Linked DNA regions of Struthio camelus. Each later gene encodes a partner of the first gene's protein in a complex. Links are inferred from orthologs where the notes say so. Each region holds a gene or a part of one and is shown on either strand. Other genes may lie near its edges. The genes, in order: GPSM2 and NUMA1.

Evidence for each region.
Region 2: the proteins of GPSM2 (region 1) and NUMA1 are in contact, whole or in part, in a crystal structure (PDB 6HC2), measured with the Homo sapiens proteins. The link is inferred for Struthio camelus from reciprocal best matches to the Homo sapiens genes GPSM2 and NUMA1. Residues at the interface, in NP_001307967.1 of Homo sapiens: Ala28, Leu29, Glu32, Cys35, Lys36, Phe47, Lys59, Thr60, Ser62, Ala63, Ile64, Ser66, Gln67, Asn70, Ala71, Phe73, Asn110, Lys113, Tyr146, His153, Lys157, Pro164, Gln165, Arg203, Gly206, Asn207, Asn210, Tyr213, Leu214, Arg228; in NP_006176.2 of Homo sapiens: Ser1901, Phe1902, Tyr1903, Met1904, Gly1905, Thr1906, Cys1907, Gln1908, Asp1909, Glu1910, Pro1911, Glu1912, Leu1914, Asp1916, Trp1917, Asn1918, Arg1919, Ile1920, Ala1921, Leu1923.

The regions. Positions count from the first base shown.
Region 1 is NC_090949.1:13,299,577-13,307,678, forward strand, and holds the start of GPSM2 (G-protein-signaling modulator 2), read right to left. Parts: upstream 3,158-8,102; 5' UTR 2,920-3,157; intron 1,825-2,919; exon of another isoform or gene 1,511-1,824; intron 1-1,510. Other genes in the region: protein AKNAD1, read left to right, coding at 4,136-5,230, 5,926-5,985, 6,321-6,450, 6,588-6,739, 6,853-6,912, 7,381-7,514, 7,863-7,998. UniProt on the Homo sapiens protein: Plays an important role in mitotic spindle pole organization via its interaction with NUMA1. Required for cortical dynein-dynactin complex recruitment during metaphase. Plays a role in metaphase spindle orientation.
Region 2 is NC_090942.1:224,085,647-224,093,261, reverse strand, and holds the start of NUMA1 (nuclear mitotic apparatus protein 1), read right to left. Parts: upstream 3,052-7,615; 5' UTR 2,967-3,051; intron 1,867-2,966; exon of another isoform or gene 1,733-1,866; intron 1-1,732. Other genes in the region: LRRC51 (leucine-rich repeat-containing protein 51), read left to right, coding at 3,366-3,406, 5,968-6,065, 6,161-6,372, 6,457-6,605, 6,721-7,051. UniProt on the Homo sapiens protein: Microtubule (MT)-binding protein that plays a role in the formation and maintenance of the spindle poles and the alignement and the segregation of chromosomes during mitotic cell division.

The DNA.
Region 1 (8,102 bases):
CAAGACTGTACCTGTCTTCAGACAAGCCAGGGATTGCTAAGTATGGTACAGGCTCCAAAGTTTTGCATGCGAAGAACAAAATTCCTAACAGCACACTACCAGGACGATGGGAGAGAAAACGTAAGTAAGCAGAAACAGAAAAGAAATTGCGAAGATTTTAAGAGCCTTTGTGGTAGACCATAAGCATTTTCCCTGTAATTCAGCTGCATACAAGTTTTTCCTCCGTATTGGTAGAAGGTTTATATAACGCACAAGTTTTATTATATGAACAAGAGCCACGTTCTCCAAACACTACCAGATTTGAGTCCTAGGAGGCAACTTGACATTAATTATCTGTTGGGATTATTTTACAGGTACTACATGTGTTTCAGACCATCTCTTACCAATTTTTACATTCCTGTTTTTCTGTACATTACATTCCTAATTTTGTAGGTCTACCATAACTTTGTAGGTCCACCATACTCTTTTCTTTTTTGGGGGCGTGGGGGGGATGCATTTTTATAACTGCTATTAAATGCCTAAAGAAAAGTCAACGGGTTTTTTTCTTCACCTGATCTCTCTCTGTTCTTTCATTCACACAAACAGCGATAGCCATAAGATGTTAATCTTTCCGGAAGTCATGTGATCAATACTGACTCCTTAAATGAAAATAAATTCATTAAGATGTTAACACCAAAGACAACTAAAAACAAGACTATAGTTATCAGATCTGGGCATGAGTAACTATTGAGGAAAGTAAAATAGACTGTGTAACTCTTACAAAAAAACTAGGAGAAACTAAAAACACTTGTTTTAATAAAACACAAGAATCCCAATAAACTATGTAAAACACGAAAAACTCCTCCATACGTTCAATAATTAAACCTACTGATGGTAGCATTAGTTTTTAGAAAAACACCTGTTTCTTAATATACCTTTTCCTAACTACCGATGAGCAGAGATGCTCTCCAAATCATAGTGCACAGGGGGATCTGAGGAATATCAGTTTAGAAAAATGGGTCTGTTGCCGTCAGTTAACGAGAAAAGGCCCAGAACTGACACTTGAAACAATTCTAGCAAAATAACAAGAAATTACCACCCTGACAAGGTATAAGAAGTGAGACTCATTTTTAGAATTTTACCGTTCTCCTCTACAATAAGCCAAAATAAACAGGTTTTCCAATTTTTGGCAACGCTTTTACTCAGCATTCTTAGGAGGAGAGGCTGGCCTGCCCTGCTAATTACCAAAAAGAAAGTCTAAAAGAGGAAAGAACTGTCGTCTCTAAATGCCTCAACTAAAAAAAAAAAAAATTGTATTAAAAGATGAAAGAGGACCATCTAGGCCAAGAGACAATGACAGCACAGGAACAAAGATGGCCATGAATACCTTTTCAAAAATTAGTCTGACCTTCTAACCAACAAATTGTGAAGTAAATCTCCAGCAGCAGAAGCATACAGTCCTAAATAGTTTTAAGATGCCTGAAAGAGTTACAAGGGCAAATAAACTGTGAAAGCAATAGACTTGACTTACATAGGTCTCTTCTAGTCTTATGAAGCTGACTTCAGTGTCAAATATTTTCTGTGCAAGCTTTATATAAAGTCCTTCCAGTTTGGGTAACCATCGACAGAACTGGTATGAAGGAGCAATGGCACATGCACGCAGAAGTTTAAACACACAAGTAAGATCCACAAGCAAAGAATTTACGAGGACTGCATTGTGAAGATAACATTTTTGCTGATGTTTTCAGCTCTAATAAAATTATGACTTATAACGAAAGAAAAGTATGAAGTTTTCATGCTAAGTTCAAGCAGAGCATGCACTCGCTCAACTGGTCTTTTTGCGATGCAAGGATCAGCACGTCCTTCTAAATTCTGAGTTGGTCGCACAGCTCTCCATGGCAACCCAGGATGCATGCACTATGCAGCCTGCTGGCGAGAATCTAACAGGAACAGCACATTAGGCTTAGAGAGGCTTTAAAGGGGGAGGGCAGCAAGTTCGAGGTGGGGAATAATTTGTGTCTTCGCTATTAGGTCAATAAAGGGATAAATAAGAACTTCTGATTAGCTATACGCTCTCCTCTTTAAAAACTTTTAAAAAGCAAAAGAGGAGGGGGAAAGGAACCAGCACAGACTAGCAAAAAACGGTAGTTCCCTAGGTCAAGCAAGACAAGGCAAGACACACTGGGTACAATTTGGGTTTAGATATGCCATAACAGAATATCCAATTAAAATTCTTAGGGTTTAGAATTGTTCCCCATACACTTTGTTCTTCATAGTATGTTTGTAGGCCCCCATTTTCTGCCACACTAATACCCCATTTCATATCTCCCGCTAAATTTTTATCTATTTATTATCCTTACTTATCTTCCTAAACACAACACAGCACAACGATCAGAAATATCTGATACAATATCTTTTTGCTACCAACTCGCTTTGGAGAAACAAGAACAATCTCTGGATTATTTACAATCAACAAAGGCTGGTCTGATAGCTGTATGCTGTTTCTGTTCGCAGAAAAGTGAGGTCGCTATACTGGAGCTCCCATTTCATCATTCTGGATTTTAAAAGGCTGCAGTAACCTTCGAGGTTTAGCAACTGTACAAGACACCCAAAAGAAGGATCACTTAAAGTCAAAGACGCCGGACTTCAGGTTCCGACCGGCAGCTTTTCAAGCCTGGTTATACGGCGAGTTCATCCACCAACAACTCAGGCCGCTCAGCAGCTGCTCCGCGGGGAAGGCCGCCGCAGTGCGGGCGACCAGAGGCGCTCGCCCCGCCGCCGGGGCCGCGCTCGCCAGCTGCCTCACCGCCGCCAGCAGGTGCGGGGCGGTGCGGGCCGGCCCCCCCGCGGCCCCCTACCGCGATCCAACGGCCCCCGCTGCGCCCGCGACGCGGCCCCACCCCAACCGCCGCCTGCCTCGCCACCGCGGCCGCGCCTCACCTCGGGGCCGGGGGTCCGCCCGCCCCCGGTGCCGGAGCAGTTTCCAGAGCGACCGCCACAGCTGGGGCAGCGCGGGGCGGGGCAGGCCGGGCCGGGCCGGGCCGGGCCGCGGCGCTGCCAACGGCGGCGCCCGCCCACGCGCAGCCGCGCTTCGAACCCACCAATCCACGGGCGGCAGCGGCCAACGGCTCTCCCACGCGGGCCGCAGCGGCCTGCGCGCGCCCCCGCCCCGCCCCCCCGGAAACCCGCATCGTTCACACGAGCCAATAGGGAGAGGGCGGGGGCGGCGGTTGGGGCCCTGCCCCGGGGGCGGGGCCCGCCAGGTGGGCGGAGCGAGGGCGCTCGGGTTACCCGGCGGGTAAGGGGACACCGCCAGCGGCCGCCCCGCCCCGCCCCGCCCCGCCCGGCTCGGCCGCGTATTTCCAAGCTGGCAGGGTCGGCGGAGGGGAGCTGCCGGGTTGGGGGCCGCTTGGGGAGAGGCGGCGGAGCGGCAGGGAGCACGAGCAAGGTAACGCGGCCCTGCGCTGCCCCTGCCCGGGAAGCAGCCGCCTTAGGAGGGGCCGAGGGCGCGTCAGGGGAAACAGAGCGTGCTGCCGGGCTAAAACGACGGGGGATTAGCATCATACTAAAATAACGCACAGCATTTTAGCTGATGAGAGGGGCGGGGGTAGGAATCAAGGCGGACAAGAAGAGAGAGGTGCTTTTTCCCCTGGGGGGCGGAGGCCAAGGAAACCTTTCATACCGTGAAGCGAGACGCGAGAGGCTATGGTTAATGACACGCCACTTTCTCCCCCCGCCCCCCCGAAGTTGTACTGCAGGTTTTCTATGCTGCTCTTGCCGCCGTTACCAAGTTTTCGGTCTCTAAGAGTACGGGGGGATTAGTGAGCAAGGACAAATTACCTGGCAGTAAAAGCCTGATTTTCCTTTCCCTGATGCTTCTGTTGTTTTATGTCACTCTTGTTTCCTCCCTGGCTAATCCCGATTTCCACCAGTGTAAACGTGAAAAGAAAACATCCATGTCAGGAGGGCGGCTCTGTAAATTTGAGTAGCAAAAAAACTGCGGTAGGTCCAAGATATAAATAAGTAGATCCTATTCTCAACTGTATTTAAATTTAAAATAACTATTACTCAATACCTTACAGATTTTGATCCAGGCAAAAAAAGCTCTCCCTCAAAACTGAGAAGCAATGACATTCATGCACTAAGTAATCAGGATATGGAGACTATGAAAGAGGGCAAACCATCAGACTGGATGAAAAAACAAATGATTAGTTCATTTTTAGAAGAGTTAAACTGTATCGCAGACACGACTGATGAGGAAAATGAAGACTTACCTTATGACGGAGATCTAGGAAAAACCTGTCACTACAGTAATTATTCAGATAATTTGAGTGACTGTACTTGTTTAAAACATATTTCTGATATTTTTTCAAACATATCCTGTTCTGAAGATAACAAAAATATAAAAGCAGCAGCAAATTATGAAACTCATCCACAACCTGGAGAAGTTTTCAATTACCATACATGTGCCACAGAAACAACTGGAATTTCAGTTGAAATGCCTGTCAGTGAAGCTTCTTTTAAGAAAGAATTACCTGTTTGCTTTAGTAGACCAGATAGGAAGCAACACCTCACTCACTCAAAAATGTCTGATGTCCTTTTGCGTCATTTTCCTAAGGGAGAGTTAATAACCACATGCCAGCTAATTGAAGGCGAGACTATACCAGAGATATCCTTTACTGAAAGTATTGATGAACCTCTGAATAAACCTGAGACTTCAGAACTTGCCAAGTGCCCTTTATCTCATGAACAACGGGCAACTAACTTTGAAGGGTATCACTTAAATAAGCATGAGGAAATAAACACTGGTGAGAGAGATCAAACTTTGCTAAATGAAAATAAGTTTGTTTCAAAGAGATCTATTTCTGCTACTATTGAGTGTGGGTGTGTACAAGAAAGTTCACCATTAATTAGTGAGAATGAAGATACACACACCTTTCAAAACACTAAAAAAGAACAACAAAAAGATCCATTTAAGAGAACAGGTTCATCTCACGAGCTCAAATTTGGCCAAGGTCAAGTTCATTATTGCCTTACTGATTTCTCTAAAGTTGCTTCAGAAGTTAAAGTACCAAAAAGAAATGACAACAATAAATCAGCTCCTGTCACTGATAGGACAAAAACCTTTCCTATTTTGCCAAGTAAATCAGTAATTGCAAATGACATTGTAGAAAACAGGAACTACTTTGATTCTGTTGAAGTAGAGAATCAAGAAGAAATGAGTGTTCCAGAACTGTTGCAACAGCTGGAGGTAAATAAGGTCATTTAAGAAACTTGTAGTATCTGTAGAGTGATGTTAGCACAAGAAAGTATTCTCTGCCCAACAAAATCTAACAGAACTAGTTCACGCAGGAAAACCATAGGCAGCAGTGAGCACGTCAATTCAGTTAGAAATTGCTTTCATGAGTAAAGTTTTGTAGGACAGGATTTCTATGCAACTTCCATTAACAAATATTTAACAATGTTCTGCAGTATTATTTGTTATTACAAAGCATCCCATCAAATTATTACAAAATTCACTACAAACTATTTCATTTTTCATTGATACACTCATTTCTAGTATTATAAGCAAACATTCAAATCCACCAAAAGTACTTTTTCCTTAAAAAAAAAAATACATATATACACACACACACACAGAGTGCCTATATATATGTTAAAGACTCCCCCCCCCCCCCCCCCCATCTTAACACTTTTCAACTCCTTATGCTGGTATTTGATTGGCCAATTCCAAATCTTTCTGAAGGATTTGTTTTACTGTTTTAAAATGTCTTTATTATGGTAGCAATTAGATCATCATTTTTCAATTTCATGCCCTGCCATGGAGTTCATTCACAGAGCTGTTACAGATGTGTAACTCCTTTCCTAGATTTGTATCTTAGTAAAATTATTTGAGATGTAACAATGTTTAACAGTTTTCTCTGTTATTTCCTGGCTGTACACAAGATGCTGACACAGCATGCTGATGCCCAGAATCATACCGATTATTTGAGACTTAATCCTAAGGTAAATCTCTCAAAACAGCAGTCTTCCTAAATTCGTTCTCTTTTATCTCTAAGATTATGAATATTTACCCAAACTATTTTGCTATCTTCACCTTGTTCCTCCCATTTACGCAAATCCTCTAATTTCCACAAAATATCTATACAACGAGACACTGAACATTTGTCAAATTATAAATATAAATACAGCAAACTATAGGAGGTAGTTACAAGAAACATATTTCATTTTACTGATAACTTGTCCTGTGCGTTTTGAGCTGTTCATAAGTTCTTCTAGTTAGCATCCACAACGTGTTTCTAAACAGCGTTTCTATAAACAAAGTTTTCATATTTTAACAGATGCTTCCTCAGTCAGATTTTCCAAATCCAAGTTTTGCCATTTACTCAGGAGGCGCTGAGACATCCTCTGAAGTTTTTGCATTACACCCTCCTTTTCCTATACAACCTATGCTTGCTTTGTCTGAAGCAGGTAAATAAAAGTTATAGTGACTATGCAAATGATGATTTTTTTCATGTAATTTGACATAACTTTTATTATATTTTATGTAAAACAGTTTGGGCAGAAACCGTTCCAACTCATTCATCTTCTTCTCTTGTGTTTTGCAGGATTACAGTGTGGGGCAACAGTATCAACATTACCATCAGCTGGTACAGTAGAAGCACACTGCCTAAATCCTTCCAGTTTACTTCTAGAACTAACACAAGGAGAAAAGATGACTCAAATACTAAAGGAACAAACAGATCAACTGCAAATGGAAGTAATGAACAGTGATGCTTTAATATATACTTAGCACTGATGCTCAAATTTAATATTCATTTGGCATATTCACTTTAAAAATCCCAAATAAAAATCTCAAATTTTCTCTTCAAGGTAGAGGACTTCTCTAAACATATGACCCAAGAGACATTCCTTTTACAAGACAAATACCTGGTAAATCCATTTATACGTTCTCAGTCATCTGAAATGAGCTTTAAATGGCTATAGTCTTAGGAATCTATGGCAAGATACTCACCCCCCCCTCCCCCCAATCTCAGATGGAAATTATGAGCATCAAAGCAGAAATGAAGGTGTTCAGTAGGGGGCTGAATTCTTAAATCTGCTTTAAGGATTACAACTCAAAACTGTTTGTGAAAGGCCTTAAATGGCCATAAAAATTATGAATTTTGACATGTAGGATGTCAGTCCAGAAGTGACGGTTTCACATTTTAGTTGTGCATAAAATAGCAGCACAGGTTACTTAGCGGACGTACACGATGCAGTCCTGTTCCAATTCGGATCAATAGCGAAATTCTTAACATCACTGCAAATACAATCTGGCTTACATAGCATAAGTAGCTATCAGTATAGCTTGCTACATCATAATTTCATTTACTGTTGAGTTATTTCTTATTGGTGAAGGTGTTAAGTCAGTTGAAAAGACGCCTTGATGCCCTGGAACAGAATTATTTAACTGCTAGAGAAGAGCACCGTAATTTACAGCTGCAGAACTACAAGGACAAGTCCATCAACATTGGAAAGTTTGATCCTGAAAGGTTAGAAAATAAGTACTAAGTAGTACTTCAACATATTCTCAATATTTTCCGAGTATCTTGCAACCGTTAAGTCAGTTGTCCTTACAACACTTTTCAGAAACGAAAACATTATCTTATGTTATATATGGTAAGCCAGAAGTGATTTAGCCAAAACTGATCACAGGCTTTGTGTGTCCTACTTATAACTGCAATATTTAACCAATTAATTCAAGTATTTAAGTGAACTCAGTGAAATCTATGAATTTATCTATCTTATGGATTCTTTATTGCAATACCCAATATCGTTTCCCCAATAAGAAATAAAACACCATTTTACAAAGGTTTCACTAACTTTGCAATTGTGTTTAGAAAGGTGGAAGGGGAAATATTTAGACTTGGCACGCTGCTTGAAGACATCCACGAGCAGGATGATAACAGCAAATGCAGCTTGTCTCCTTTGCTTACTCCTTATGAATCTGCCCATTCATCCTATTCTCTTGGTGAGGTAACTTAGCAAGTTTTGTCATTTAAAGCCTGCGTTAGTCTCTGTGTTTTAGGGATGCAAATCTCATTAACCTCAGTGTGGTTGTAGTCACCTAGTATTTGTAA
Region 2 (7,615 bases), on another chromosome or scaffold:
GGCCAGCAGCTTACCAAATCCAAATCTGCACACGCAAGCCCTTGCTCCTCCACTGAAGGCAGACTCCTGCCACCAAGCGTTTATGTGACTGCTCAGCAAACCCCACCCAGACACAGGGCTAGTTATTTTTCGAACTGATCTAGCAAAAAAGGCCTCAGCTCAACCAGTTCCCCAATCCGGTTTACTCTGCAGCTTCAGAAGTCCTCCTGCAGGCACAAGGAGGACAGCAGAACTGCTTCGTTCAGCAGCCACACCACCAATGTGTTAATGCCACCACCGCCTTAGCAACTAGTCCAAGGAATTTCCTGTGTAAAGCGTGCTACTTTGGCGCAGATAGCAAAGAACCTGAAAAAGCTAAAGAACCAGAAACGTGGTGGACATCTGCTTGCCAGTGAACTACCACAGAATCACAGAACAGTTGAGGTTGGAAGGGATATCTGGAGATCATCTAGTCCAAGCCCCCTGCTCCACCAGGGTCACCTATAGCACGTTGTCCAGCATCGCATCCGGGCGGGTTTTGCATATCTCCAGCGAAGGAGACTCCACTACCTCTCTGGGCAACCTGTTCCAGTGCTCTGTCACCCTCACAGTGAAGAGGTTTTGCTTCATGTTCAGATGGACCTTCCTGTGTTTCAGTTTATGCCCGTTGCTTCTTGCCCTGTCACTGGGCACCACGGAGAAGAGGCTGGCCCCATCCTCTCAACACCCTCCCTTCACATACTTCTACACATTTATGAGATCGCCTCTCAATCTTCTCTTCTCCAGGCTGAACAGGCCCAGATCCCTCAGCCTTTCCTCAGAGCAGAGATGCTCCAGGCCCTTCATCATCTGTGTAGCCCTCCGCTGGACTCTCTCCAGGAGCTCCATGTCTCTCTTGTACTGGGGAGCCCAGAACTGGACCCAGTACTCCAGGTGAGGCCTCCCCAGGGCTGAGGAGAGGGGCAGGATCACCTCCCTCCACCTGCGGGCAACACTCTGCCTAATGCACCCCAGGATCCCACTGGTCTTCTTGGCCACAAGGGCGCATTGCTGCCTCATGGTCACCTTGTTGTCCACCAGGACTCCCAGGCCCTTCTCGGCAGAGCTGCTTTCCAGCAGATCAGCCCCCAGCCTGTCCTGCTGCCTGGGGTTATTCCTCCCCAGGGACAGGACCCTGCTCTTGCCTCCGCTGAACTTTGAGGAGGTTCCTCTCCGCCCAGCTCTCCAGCCTGTCCACGTCCCTCTGAATGGCAGCACAGTCTTCTGGTGTGTTAGCCTCTCCTCCCACTTTGGGATCATCAGCAAACTTATGCAGAGGGTGCACTCTGTCCCTTCCTCCAGGTCACTGATGAGTATGTTGAACAAGACTGGACCCAGGACTGACCCCTGGGGGACACCACTGGGCTACAGGCCTCCAACTAGACTCCGCAACACTGACCACAACCCTCTGAGCTCGGCCATCCAGCTAATTTCTTATCCACCTCACTGTCCACTCATCCAACCCACACTTCCTGAGCTTACCTACGAGGATGTGATGGGAGACAGTGTCAAAAGCCTTGCTGGCACACAAGGGGGAAGACATGATGATTACGGAGCCTGGTCCTCTCCTGCTGCAAGAACCCACAGCATAATCCTGCTGCCGACTTTATCAAGCTTCATCTCAAAAGCAGCAAAGGTTTTGGATCCGTCTCCAGACTAACCCACTCAAAGCTTCCTGGAAAATCCCCGGCAAAGACAAGGATCTTGCACATACCTGCCTCGCAATCCCACCTACGCCGAGGGAGAAGCGCAAGGCGCTCGCAGGTCTGGCGCAGGTCTGGTCCCCCTGCCCGGCCGTGGGAGGGGGAGAGGCGCCAGATCACGGTCCCTCCGGCCACCTCCGTGTCCTGCAGCGTCACGGTCCCACACAGTCGTCCCCAAAGGGTCACCACCCCCCTAAAGCATCCTGTCCCCCCACCCCAGGTCACTGTGTCCCTCCCAGGTTCCCTGCTCCCCACAGCGGCCCCATACCCCCCCCCACCTCGCTGTCCCTCTGCTCCCCCCCCTCCAGGTCCCCGTTCCCCCCCCCACCTCGCTATCCCTCTGCTCCCCCCCCTCCAAGTCCCCCTTCCCCCCCCACCTCGCTGTCCCTCTGCTCCCCCCCCCAGGTCCCCCTCCCCCCCCCACCTCACTGTCCCTCTGCTCCCCCCCTCCAGGTCCCCCTTCCCCCCCCCACCTCACTGTCCCTCTGCTCCCCCCCCTCCAGGTCCCCCCCTTCCCCCCCCCACCTCGCTGTCCCTCTGCTCCCCCCCCCTCCAGGTCCCCCTTCCCCCCCCCACCTCGCTGTCCCTCTGCTCCCCCCCCTCCAGGTCCCCCCCTTCCCCCCCCCACCTCGCTGTCCCTCTGCTCCCCCCCCTCCAGGTCCCCCTTCCCCCCCCCACCTCGCTGTCCCTCTGCTCCCCCCCCTCCACGTCCCCCTTCCCCCCCCACCTCGCTGTCCCTCTGCTCCCCCCCCCTCCACATCCCCCTTCCCCCCCCACCTCGCTGTCCCTCTGCTCCCCCCCCCCCGGTCCCCATTCCCCCCCCCACCTCGCTGTCCCTCTGCTCCCCCCCCCCCGGTCCCCCTTCCCCCCCCACCTCGCTGTCCCTCTGCTCCCCCCCCCCAGGTCCCCCTTCCCCCCCCACCTCGCTGTCCCTCTGCTCCCCCCCCCCCAGGTCCCCCTTCCCCCCCCACCTCGCTGTCCCTCTGCTCCCCCCCCCCCAGGTCCCCCTTCCCCCCCCACCTCGCTGTCCCTCTGCTCCCCCCCCCCCAGGTCCCCCTTCCCCCCCCCACCTCGCTGTCCCTCTGCTCCCCCCCCTCCACGTCCCCCTTCCCCCCCCCACCTCGCTGTCCCTCTGCTCCCCCCCCTCCACGTCCCCCTTCCCCCCCCCACCTCGCTGTCCCTCTGCTCCCCCCCTCCAGGTCCCCCTTCCCCCCCCAGGCCCTAGGCCCCCCCCTCAGGCCCTACCGTATTCACTGTAGCCGCGGGGCCCCCGCCGGAACCCCCCGCCCCGCGGCGCAAAGCAGCCGACGCGGCCTCCTGCCCGATTCAAATGGCTGCGCCGGCCCCCTGCCCCCTGCCTATTGGCTGCCGACCAGGATACGTCAGCGTGGCCTTACGTCACGTGAGGTTGCGAGGCGGCGGAGGGCGGGGAACTACCAATCCCAGCGGGGCGAGCGCTCGTCCCGGCGTGCCCCGCGCGGGGCGGGGCGGGGCGAGGGGCTGGTTGCCGTGGCGACGGCGGCGCGCGGGGGGTGGTGAGCGGGGCGCCCGTGGGGCCGCGCGGGCGGTTAGGGGACACGCGTGGGGCCCTGTGGGGAGGAGCGGGGTGTGGGGCGTTGTACAGGAGGAGGGGGGAGATGTCTGATGCCCCACGCGGGGAAGGACGCACCTAGGATCCTGTGTGGGTAAGGGATACGCGTGGGAGCCAGGGCACTGGTGACGGGAGACATGCGAGTGGCCCCACGCGCGGAGAATGGGGCTCGAGTGGGGCTGTGTGGGGACGAGAACACATATGGGGACGTGGGGGGGGTGTCTGGCGCAGGAGGATGTGGGGAGGCAGGCATGGGGACGTGTGGGGAGGTGGGCCGGGGCAGGGGGACGCGAGTGGGTGCGGGTGGGAGCAGAGGGACAGGCATGGGGATGCCTGTGGGGGCAGGAGGACATGGGCGGCGGCTGGGGGACTCGCCGTGGGGCTGCGTGTGGGAGCAGGACGATACCCACGGGCACGTGCGTGTGGGGCAGGAGGACACGCGTGGGCACTCCCGTGGGGACAGGCGGATGCCCATGGGGATGCATGTGAGGACATATGGGGGCAGGAGGACATGTGTGGGGATGCCCCGTGGGGGGTTGGTGCATGGCCTTGAGGATGCCCGTGGGGGGCCAGGGACACGTGTGAGGACACATGGGGGCAGGGGGACACGTGTGGGGACACGCGTGGGGTGTGGGGACACCCATGAGGGTGTGCGCGGGGGCTGGGGACACATGTGGGGACACACTGGGGCAGGAGGACACATGTGGAGATACCCGTGGGGGGCAGGAGCACAGCTGTGGAGATGTGCACGGGGGCTGGTGACACGTGTGAGGACACATGGGGGCAGGGGGACACGCGTGGGGACACCCGTGGGGGGTGGGGACACCCATGAGGGTGTGCACGGGGGCTGGGGACACATGTGGGGACACACTGGGGCAGGAGGACACATGTGGGGGTTTGTGCGGGGGCCAGAGACACCTATGGGGACACATGGGGGCAGGAAGACGTGTGAGGGGATGCCCGTGGGGGGCAGGAGCACTGCTGTGGGGATGTGCACAGGGGCTGGGGACATATGGGGACATATGGGGGCAGGAGGACATGTGTGGGGACACCCGTGAGGGGTGAGGATGCCCATGGGGGTGTGCGCGAGGGCCAGGGACACGTGTGGGGACACATGAGGGCAGGAGGACACGCGTGGGGACGCCCGAGGGGGTGTGCATGGGGGCCGGGGACACGTGGGGACACGTGGGGGCAGGAGGACACGCGTGGGGATGCCCGTGTGGGTGTGCGTAGGGACACATGGGGGCAGGAGGACACGCGTGGGGGCAGGAGGACACGCGTGGGGACGCCCGTGGGGGTGTGCGTAGGGACACATGGGGGCAGGAGGACACGCGTGGGGGCAGGAGGACACGCGTGGGGACGCCCGTGGGGGTGTGCGTAGGGACACATGGGGGCAGGAGGACACGCGTGGGGACGCCCGTGGGGGTGTGCGTAGGGACACATGGGGGCAGGAGGACACGCGTGGGGGCAGGAGGACACGCGTGGGGACGCCCGTGGGGGTGTGCGTAGGGACACATGGGGGCAGGAGGACACGCGTGGGGACGCCCGTGGGGGTGTGCGTAGGGACACATGGGGGCAGGAGGACACGCGTGGGGACGCCCGTGGGGGTGTGCGTAGGGACACATGGGGGCAGGAGGACACACGTGGGGGCAGGAGGACACGCGTGGGGACGCCCGTGGGGGTGTGCGTAGGAACACATGGGGGCAGGAGGACACGCGTGGGGGCAGGAGGACACGCGTGGGGACGCCCGTGGGGGTGTGCGTAGGAACACATGGGGGCAGGAGGACACGCGTGGGGGCAGGAGGACACGCGTGGGGACGCCCGTGGGGGTGTGCGTAGGAACACATGGGGGCAGGAGGACACGCGTGGGGACGCCCGTGGGGGTGTGCGTAGGGACACATGGGGGCAGGAGGACACGCGTGGGGACGCCCGTGGGGGTGTGCGTAGGGACACATGGGGGCAGGAGGACACGCGTGGGGGCAGGAGGACACGCATGGGGACGCCCGTGGGGGTGTGCGTAGGGACACATGGGGGCAGGAGGACACGCGTGGGGGCAGGAGGACACGCGTGGGGACGCCCGTGGGGGTGTGCGTAGGGACACATGGGGGCAGGAGGACACGCGTGGGGGCAGGAGGACACGCGTGGGGACGCCCGTGGGGGTGTGCGTAGGAACACATGGGGGCAGGAGGACACGCGTGGGGACGCCCGTGGGGGTGTGCGTAGGGACACATGGGGGCAGGAGGACACGCGTGGGGGCAGGAGGACACGCGTGGGGACGCCCGTGGGGGTGTGCGTAGGGACACATGGGGGCAGGAGGACACGCGTGGGGACGCCCGTGGGGGTGTGCGTAGGGACACATGGGGGCAGGAGGACACGCGTGGGGGCAGGAGGACACGCGTGGGGACGCCCGTGGGGGTGTGCGTAGGGACACATGGGGGCAGGAGGACACGCGTGGGGGCAGGAGGACACGCGTGGGGACGCCCGTGGGGGCCAGGAGGACGCCCGTGGCAGCCAGACACATGCGTGGGGACGCCCGCGGTGTGTGTGTGTGGAGGGGGGGGGCTGGGGACACGGGTGGGGACATCCGCGGGGGCAGGAGGACAGGCGTGGGGTCGGGGCGGGGGACAGCACCCCGACAAGCGCCGCCCCGCGCAGGGGGGCCGCCTCCGCCGCCGGCCTCGGCCCCATGGCGCGGTGCCCGGCCCTGGCGCCCCCCCTCGACTTCTCCTTCCGCGGCGCCACCTCCATCCCAGGTGGGACCCCGGGGGCAGAAAAGGGGTGGTGGTGGGGGGGGGGGGGAGCCCCCCGGCGGGCACCTCTCACCCCCCCCCCCACCCCGCGCGCCCAGAGCTGCTGGCGCAGGAGCCGCGGGCCGGGGCGGCGGGGCGGGCGGCGGGGCGCTCGGCCGGCGGCCGCCTGCTTGCCGGCGCCCTGCGCCTCAACAACAACGCGCTGGGCAGCCTGGCCGGCCTGGCGCCCGCCCTCGAGCGGCTCCTCGAGGCCCCCGAGCGGCTCTCCTGGCTCGACCTCTCCTTCAACGCGCTGCCCACCATCGACCCGGTAGGGCGCTGGGGTTTGGGGGGGGGGTAGGGGGGGCTCCCCGCGCCTCGGGGCGGCTGCTCACGGCCCGGCGGGCGCCCGCAGGTGCTGACCGCCTACCGCCACCTGCGCAGCCTCCACCTGCACGCCAACGGCATCCGCAGCCTGGCCGAGGTGGACAAGCTGGCCGCCCTGCCGCGCCTGCGCCGCCTCACCCTGCACGGCAACCCCGTCGAGGAGCAGCCGGGCTACAGGTATGCTGCTCGCCCCCCCCCGCCTCTCCCCTGCCCCACCTCCCTTTTTTGGGGGGGGGGGGGGGTCTCAGCGCCTGTCCCCCCCCCCCCGACCGCCGCCTCCGCGCCCCGGCAGGAGCTACGTCATCTCCGTGCTGCCCCAGCTCAAGTCCTTCGACTTCAGCGGCGTCACCAAGCAGGACCGCTCCACCGCCGCCGCCTGGAAGCGCATGCAGGCCAAGCCCAAGGCGGCCGGGAAGGCGGCGGCGGCGGGGGGCAGCTCCCGAGCTGGAGCCCCCCCCCCCCAGCCCCGCGCACCCACCGGGGCGGCTGCTGCTGCTGCTGCTGGCAGGGCCGCGAAGCAGGAGGCTGGCGGGGAGCGGCTCGGCCTCGGGCGCCCTTCCGGGGCTGGCTTCGCCCCCGGACCCCGCGCCGGCCCTCCTCCCGCTCCCTCCCCTTCCTCATAAATAAAGCCCCCCCTCACCCCGGCGGCACCGCCCGGGGTTAAGGAAACAACGCCTGCGAACCGGACTCGTCCTGCAGCATCGTCCGCGAGGCGCTTTGGGGCACGCAGCGGCGGCGGCTCGGGGACGGGGGGGGAGAGCAGCGGCGGCCGCCACCGGCTGGGGAAGGCGCACGAGAACCGTGGCGCCTCGGGGGCAAGGGAGCAACCGGAGCGCGCAGGCCGCCAGGCGCCCGTTGCACCCGTTATCGCAGCCATCCCGGGTCCTCCCCTCCCCTCCCCGGGCCCGCACAACGGGACCCGGGTGGCTCCTGCCGCCCGTGCTGCTCAGGGGCCGAGAGCGGAGCGCACAGGGCGCAAGGCGTGCAGCCCAGCGGAGCATCTCCCGCTCCACCGGACGCGACGGACGAAAAACCAGGACTCCTTTCGAACCCCCCCCCCCTTGCCCGCACCGGCCCACAGAAACTCCTCCCAGCTCAGCGGGCGCGTGGCCAGCTGGCGCCGCTGCACGCAGGCACAGGCGGTCCCGGACCGCCCTCCAGGCGCCCAAAACCTCTGCCAGGAGGAG